2 linked regions of the Tamandua tetradactyla genome follow. The protein of the gene in region 1 purifies or fractionates together with the protein of each later gene. This does not show direct contact. Links are inferred from orthologs where the notes say so. Each region holds a gene or a part of one and is shown in the gene's direction. Other genes may lie near its edges.

The links.
Region 2: the proteins of SPDYC (region 1) and CDK1 purify together in Homo sapiens (co-immunoprecipitation; 3 studies listed by BioGRID and IntAct, with this or other methods). This does not show direct contact. The link is inferred for Tamandua tetradactyla from reciprocal best matches to the Homo sapiens genes SPDYC and CDK1.

Annotation. Positions count from the first base shown.
Region 1 is NC_135335.1:9,397,223-9,401,132, reverse strand, and holds SPDYC (speedy protein C), read left to right. Parts: upstream 1-1,193; 5' UTR 1,194-1,266; intron 1,267-1,762; exon of another isoform or gene 1,763-1,945; 5' UTR 1,946-1,991; coding exon 1,992-2,133; intron 2,134-2,399; coding exon 2,400-2,458; intron 2,459-2,738; coding exon 2,739-2,824; intron 2,825-2,936; coding exon 2,937-3,108; intron 3,109-3,185; coding exon 3,186-3,504; intron 3,505-3,673; coding exon 3,674-3,723; 3' UTR 3,724-3,903; downstream 3,904-3,910. UniProt on the Homo sapiens protein: Promotes progression through the cell cycle via binding and activation of CDK1 and CDK2. Involved in the spindle-assembly checkpoint. Required for recruitment of MAD2L1, BUBR1 and BUB1 to kinetochores.
Region 2 is NC_135339.1:36,504,806-36,508,715, reverse strand, and holds the start of CDK1 (cyclin-dependent kinase 1), read left to right. Parts: upstream 1-1,245; 5' UTR 1,246-1,787; intron 1,788-3,846; 5' UTR 3,847-3,871; coding exon 3,872-3,908; intron 3,909-3,910. UniProt on the Homo sapiens protein: Plays a key role in the control of the eukaryotic cell cycle by modulating the centrosome cycle as well as mitotic onset; promotes G2-M transition via association with multiple interphase cyclins.

The DNA of each region.
Region 1 (3,910 bases):
ATTAAAATAAAACAAAAACAGAAAATAAGAAACGTTGATGGGGAAGTGGAGAAATTGACAACCTCATACACTGTTGGTGGGATTGTAAAATGGTGCAGCCACTGTGGAAATCAGTTTGATGGTTCCTCAGCAAATGGAACACAGAATTACTATATGACCTGGCAATCCCACTTTTAGGTATATACCGGGACTTGAGCAGGACATTTGCACACCGATGTTTATCACAGCATTATTCACAATAGCCAAGAGGTGGAAGCAACCCAAATGCTCATGAACAGATGAACAGATAAACAAAATGTGGTACACACACACACACACACACACACACACACACACACACAATGTAAAAAGGAATGAAGTTCTGATGCATGCTACATCATGGATGAAGACACTACATTGAGTGAAATAAGCCAGGCAAATATTATATGGAATAACTAGAATATGCAAATTCAGAAACAGAAAGTAGATGATGGGGTACCGAGGTGGGGTGGGAATGGGGAGTGAATGCTTAATGGGTGCAGAGTTTCTGTTTGGGACGATGGAAAAGTTTGGGTAATGGATGTTAGTAAATGACATTTACTGTACACTTGAAAGTGGTTAAAATGGAGAATTTTGAGCTGTATGTATGTTACCACAACAAAAAGTTACAAGAAAGAAAAGTCACCCATCACGTGTGAAAAGTAACCCAGGAGCTGACTATCCCATGGAATTGGGGAAGGAAAACGAGCCAGTGGAGCCAAAAAGGCTTCGGATCCCTAAGGGGTAAGCCTGGGGGCGGGGGCGGGGGTTTCCTGGGGACACCAGCCAGCCTCCCCTTATCCCCAGAAGACCTTGGGAAGGGGATGGGTCCTCTGGAAGTTCCATGCCAAGATAGTATTCTCTCTGGCTCCCAGGTTTTGAGGTTTCTCAATCTGAAACAATCACCCACAACACCCAGCGTGGCTGCCTCCCACAGTCAGTGAATTAAAACTTTCCCTTCATACCTTTGGCTCACCTTCCGTGAGGAGTGGGGTGGGGTCCTGCCCGAGCACCCCATCTGCCCTGCGGGGGTAACGTTTCTTCTGGAGAAGCTTTTACCTTGGGGAGCCGCAGCTGGGAGGCACAGGAAATCTGGTTCCTGGTGGGCGGTGATGACCAAGCCCCGCCCCCTCTGCCACAAGGGAACTGATTGGTGGAGAGCCTGGGTGGGGCGGGGCAGCCCCAGGGCTATATAAGCGGCCGGGGCGGCCCGCAGGGCGTTATGCTGTAGGTTGTTGCTGAGGCCAGGTAAGGCTTCTCGAGGAGGGAGGCTGCGCCCCTGGAGACGCCTGGATGGAAGTCCTGGGCCGATCCCGGGCTAGGGGAGGGCGCCTTCCCTCCAACCCTCGAGTTGTAGGGAAGGCTTAGGAAAGTAGCTGGAGATACTTGAGCAAGCTCTCGACACCCCTCTCAGCCTCACTTACCCCGTGTGTGTTCAACCCTTTGGTGTGGGATGGGGTGGGGTGGGAGTTGGGGGCAAGAGAAACAGTGACGCTCTGGGGCTTTTGGAATCAGCCAAACTCCACCTTTAACTGGCTGCAAGTCCCCTGTGCCTTGGTTTCCTTGTTTGTGGAATGCGTGTCACGGACCCAGCTTTCGGGAGGAAATAAGATGTCTTAAATAAGTATTTAGCACAGCTCCAGGCACTTAGTGGCTGTTATTACACCTCTCTGGCCTGGCCTGGGGTGCCGGGAGGAGGGCTAGGGGTGCTGCGGCCTCCGGGAATTCCTCGTTTCTTTCCTAGGTTCCCCCACCCCCACCCCCCACAATGCATCGCAGCGTCCATCTTTGCTGAACTCCCTTCTCCACTCGCATCCCTCCACCTTGGGGTGCTCTTTTCGGCAGGCCTCACCATCCCCCCTGGACTGGTGGGAGGTGGGGGAGGGGGTACTTGCTGAGTCGGGGTGGGGGGCTGCCCTCTCCACAGGTCACCCTGCCCCGCCCCACCCCGCCTCACCCCACCCCCTCATGAGATGAGTGGCGCCCCGGACCGTGCCACTGTCCCTGTGGTCGCCGCCCAGGTGAAGCTGGGGGGCTGGAGCCGTCGAGGTGGGGGCCGCGGGTTCCTCCCTTCCCTCCAGCACCAGGAGCTCCAGGCCTTCCTCAACCTTCTGGGTGAGTTCATTTGGGGGACGGGGGTGGGGGGGGGTAGAGAATGACACGGGAGGGGCTGCAGGGATCAAGTGTGAAAAAAGATACAAGCATCTGAGCTCTCGGGTGCCCTTCCCGCTCAGGTGACCCAGGTTTGGCAGGTGGCAGAGGGGTCGCGTCGGAAAGTGGGTTCCGTGGGGGCTCGGGCTTTGGCACTCTGATGCCACTTCGCGTCTCGTGGTGGGTGGGGGATAATGCAGAGCCCCCATTTCTCCTCTCCCTCCACCCAGAGGACAGTTTTCTCCAGGAATTCCTCTCCAAAGACCCCTGTTTCCAGATTTCAGATAAGGTGGGGGGGGCAGAGGTTGTGGGTCACTTGAGGGGACGGTTGATTTAGTGGGGCTGGAGCTCTGCTACTTTCCTGGGGGTCCCTGGAATGGTGGGGGTGGGTGGGGGAGGACTCACTTTTTACCTCTAAATCGTCCTTGGAGCCCCCTCCCCACCATCTTACCCCATCCCTTCTCTCTACCACCAAAATTACCTGGCCAGGACACACCCCTGCTCCCCAACCCCCCCTCCACAGCTGACCTATGACCTCCACCCCCTCCCACACCTCTGTCTCTCTGCAGTATCTCCTGGCAATGGTGCTGGTTTACTTCCGGCGCGCCAACATGCAACTCAGCGAATACACCCACAGCAACCTGTTCTTGGCACTGTGAGCGGGGGTGGCAGGGGGCGGGGGTGAGGGGGCCTCAGCGGGCCTTTGGAGGGTGCTCGGCCGGTGCTGCGCCCTCCGCTCCCTGACCCCCCCAGTCCCGCATGGCCAGGTACCTTGCGAATGACATGGAGGAGGACCTGGAGGACCCCAAATGTGAGATTTTCCCCTGGGCTCTGGGCGAAGGCTGGCGTCCTCGGGTCTCGGACTTCCTGCACCAGAGGGACCAGCTGTGGGCGCGGATGGACTTCCGGGCTGTCGTGAGCCGCCAGTCCTGCGAGGAGGTGACGGCCGGGGCCTGGCATCCCCCGTGGGAGCAGCAGCTCCCCCCCCCACTGACCACCCGCTTTCCTCCTCCCAGGTCATGGCCAAGGAGCCGTCCCACTGGGTCTGGATGCGGGAGCGGCGCCCCCACCACGGCGGGGCGCAGAGGGGCTGCCCTGAGGCCCTCCTCTCCCTGCCCCGGGGCCCCGGCCTCTCGCCACCCCATTGCTCCCTCTGTGGCTTGCCCCCGAGCCACCCCTTGCCTGGGTCATCCAAGTGTCCTTCTCCAACCCCTGAGTGTCACAGCCCTCCCTCCCGAGCTTGGCTCTCAGTGGTTGAAGACCCCTGGGGTGGGAGCTTTCTCCTCGTCCTGCCCCCGCAGCTGCAGCTGGAGCCAGGCCTCTACACCCTCCACAGTGAGTGGGGCAGGGGGAGCTGGGGGATGGGCTTGGAAGCCTGGGAGGGGGGAATGGGGGAGGTCAGAGTGACAGAGCGGGGCCCATGGGGTGTATACAGGCTCCCATCCCAGCCAGTGACAGCTTGGCAAGTTTCCTCTTTGAGCCTCACTGTGTCCTTCTCCCCTAGTCCTCCGGGGGCCTCTGCCGTGCCCAGGAACCCAGCACCCTGCGGGGTGAAGAGCCGCTGGCCTGTGAGCTCACTGAACCAGTGCCCCTACTGGCTGTGGACCCTCCTGGCCTCCTCTCTAGTTGACTTCAGGCTGGCAGTGCTGCCCACGCCCCCTGCCCCTTCCTCCCACCTGCAACTTGTACCCACGCTGGCCTTGGCCCCCCCTCCAATAAACTCGTGTCACGGGACACCAGC
Region 2 (3,910 bases), on another chromosome or scaffold:
TCCCCTCTTGTGTCTAGCTTATTTCACTTGGCATCATGTTTTCAAGGTTCATCCATGGCAGAATATGTCAGGCAAAGCCTCTGTGCTTTGTTCATGCCGTTTCCTCTGCTTGGAATGCCCGTCCCACAATTCTTTCTAAAGTATTTATTCAAATGTCACTTCCCCTGTCAGCATTAGTTTTCTCCTCTGTGTTCCCCTGTCATTTTATAGCATAAGTTACAATTTAAGTACCAGAAGAGAGTTCTAAATCATCTTTGTGCTTCCCCCCTCTTATACTGAGAGCAGGAATGGTATCTTACTCATTTTTGCATTTATAAAATACAGTGTTGCACTTTACAGACACTGAATATAGGTTGGCTGAAAATATAATAAACTATATGTGTTAAGAGGATAGCTTGAATTTACAATAACCCTCCTGAAATTCTGAAAAGAAAGAGAATCGCATTAAATTAAAAAAGAGTAGCATCACAGCTATGGAAGCTTATGGTCTTCTTTATGCTGAATGTAAAGTGAATATAATGCATTAATTGCATTTTTTAAGATGATACAAATTGAATTCCATGCCTAAGCCTTCCAGAGAGAAAGACGTATATTCATTTATTAAAATCAGTAACCCAAAATAACAGAGAACAGCCTGCCTCCCTAGAGCACCACTCTGGGGAAATGAAGGCAGTTTTCATGTAAAGAGTGAATTTTTCATTTAAAAGTAAGCTTTAAAAACTGTTAGGCTTAATTAGGGTATTTACAAGCCCCTACCCAACAACCCCACATGTTCTGCCTCTGTGGCCTGGGAGGCTAAAATAGTCAAGACTGAGCCTAAGTGCCACATATAGGGCCAAACAACAGATGTTGCTTCTCCTATTCGTTGTGCAAAAATGCATGAATGCATGTGATATACTAGTTCCATTCCTTATCCTACCCTGGGTATTCTAATTCATAGTTGAAGAGGTCGAGATAGTCATTCTTTGTTCTATGTCCAGTTAGAGTCAAGGCAAAGAGGAATTCTTCCTAGAGGACTCTTACTACCCCGGGTTCTACATACTGTTTTATTTCCTTAAAGATTGAATGTTCAAATGCAAAGATCTTTCTTAAGGATATGGTGGTGATGCTGTGTTATTTAAAGAATAACTTGATTCCTTTTTCTTCCTTCAAAGAATTATGAATTTTGTGTTCATATGTAAAATTTTGATGTAAAAATAATTTAATATTGTAAAAATTTCCTTTAGATTTTAGGTCTTTCCATTTTCCATCATCTTCAGGTAAGTGAAAACGTGCTCTTATGGAGAAATAGGCTCATCCAGCAAACCACTCAATTTAGAAAAACATAAATATACATTAGCCTTAAGCACGAGAACTGAACGGAATGGAATCTTGATGTAATGTGATAAGCTATTTGAGCGCAATAATTTTTAACTGTACCAATTCCGGAAGGAAAAAAACCCGAACGAATAGTAGATTCTCAAGACGAGAAACAGTAGAACGACGCTTCCCTGGGATGAAAGACGCCCCTGTGTTCAGACTCAGTTGGCGCCCGCCCACCTGCTTTTTCTCCAGCCGCCGTTTCCTCTTCCTTTCGCGCTCTAGCCGCCCGGGAAACCCAGCCCAAGCGTAATGTGCTCTGATTGGCTGCTTTGAAAGTCTACGGGCTACCTGATTGGTGGATCGGAGACCCTTTAGCGCGGTGACTTTGAAACTGCTCTCACTTTGCTTCAAACCTGGCTCTTGGAAGTTGGGAAGGAGTGACGCCGACGTGGTAGCTGCTGCCACCACCGCGTCGGATAAGCCCGGTAGAGTTGCAGGGGCCCGGGTCGTACCTATGGGGCATGTACTCGGCAGGCGCCGGCTCGGGGGCCTTGGGGAGGGGAGTATTGAAAGCCCTGCTGGGGAGCAGGGGGTGTGTGCGGCAAGGCCGGGCCTCAGGGTGGGCTGGGCCCGGGGCTCGGAATCCCGGGCCTGGGCTTTAGGGGGAGTTTTGTGGGAGCACAGCCGGATGGGCTTACTCTGGGGAGGGCTGAGGCTGCCCTGGCCTCGGAGTTCCCTTCTGGAGGTCTGAATCGTCTGTTTCGAGGAAGAGGTCGCCCACCCAGCGGAGGAGGCATTCTGGTGTCGGTGCAAGCTGGATTGAAGCAAAATCCGTGCACAGGTTCGAGGACGCAGGGTGCTGGTGAGCGCCAGGCTCGCTCATGGGCCCTGCTGCTTCGGTTCGCCGCCTGCGCTTCATCCTTCGGCTGCTCCGGGGGTGGAAAGCGAGACCGCACCTGGGCCGGGCCCCACGCCAGTCTTTAATCCCAGTCAGTCTGAGAAACCGATCCGACGAACTTCTGGGCTCTCTCGGGCTTCCTTCAGCACCCATGTCCCTTACCTGACCGGAAATTTTAAGAACCCGTAGCCAAGGCACAGAGCCAGTGGAAACTTGGGTTTCTTTTTTTTTTTTTTTTTTTTACTTGTACTTTACACTCGTAGCTAGTATATCACTGGCAAAAAGTGGAAAACTAAGAAATGCCGAGAGAGAAACATGTGTTCTTAATACCTTTGTCAAGGCCTTTAATCAGTGTTGATCCATTACTAAAGTTACTAGTGTGCATTCTGGACCTGGAGGTCTCTGGGAAGGGAAACTAAGCCAAAGATATTTTATATCCTACAGCTGTTAGAACAGAGCCGCGGGACGCATCCAAAAGGCATTCTGAAGCAGCATGTTTTATTGATAATTGTTAAAGTTGGAAAATAGAAGGGTAATTGAGTCCGGCTTTGAAGTGGAGTTAGTTTTTAGCTATTAAAGTGAGCGCAACAATTTTATTGTGTTTTAGCCCATATTAATTCTGGTCACTTAGGAAAAGATAATTGTGCTAAATTGTCCATTGCTGTTTAATAAAATTAAATTGTAAATTCTTGATGGACATTCTTTTGTTTTGGAGTCAGTTGCTCAGAGTAACCCTTATGATTTTATCATCAGTGATGAGTGTGTTAGAAAATCAATGTAATTATGCTTCAGATTTCTGAGGTTTTGCTTCATTGGAAAACTTAACCAACTGAGAAGATCTTGAGTGTCTGGCTGTCTGTCTGCAATTCTGCTCCTTCTTACCATTCTTAGTGATTAGTATTTGTTTTTTTATTTGGTTCTTGGTGTTGGTAGGGTATAATCAGAACTTTATTTGTGGAATTGCACTTTTAATCTTTTCCTTCTAGGGCATTCAGTGATATCTTCTTTTGCAAAAGGTACCTTGCAAGTCTTGTAATAGAGAAGCACATTTGTCTATGTGACTGCTATAAACAAAGAAGAAAAATTAAAACTCAACTTGCGCCAACTGTAAACACTTAAAATGCTTTTGTTGCTTTAAGCAAAACCTTTCTAATGGGGAGCAGTCTGACCAGATTTTAGACCCCTACTCAAGTCTCCTGAACATTTTCTCTTGAATTATCTTCACTAAAAATATCGTAAAGCAATACAAATCAAATCAAAATAGCATTATTTGCTGATGTATTTGGGTATAACCTTGGTACACAGTAGTGCTCCTTAAAAGTGTTACTTACTTCCATGTTTGGTTTGGAAAGGATGGATTGATTTATTGTGAATTTGAGGGCTAATCCAGATGGAAGAAGCTAAATGTTACACTGGTGTAGAATATACACATATTTCCAATATTTTAGAAGCTAAAGAGGGTGGGAAAGTCTTATTGCAAGAGTTCTTATTCTTGTAAATATTGTCTTAATATAACTCATATTTATGAAATACTTTATATTGCAGTAGACATTGCTAAATACTTAATATGTAGTATCTCATTCATACTTAAAACCACTCTTTGAATTAGTAGCATGTAATCAAGTCATTTTTTCCCCTCATTTTAGGATTTACGGCACCTGTTGGGTAACTATGGAAGACTATACCAAAATAGAGAAAATTGGAGAAGGT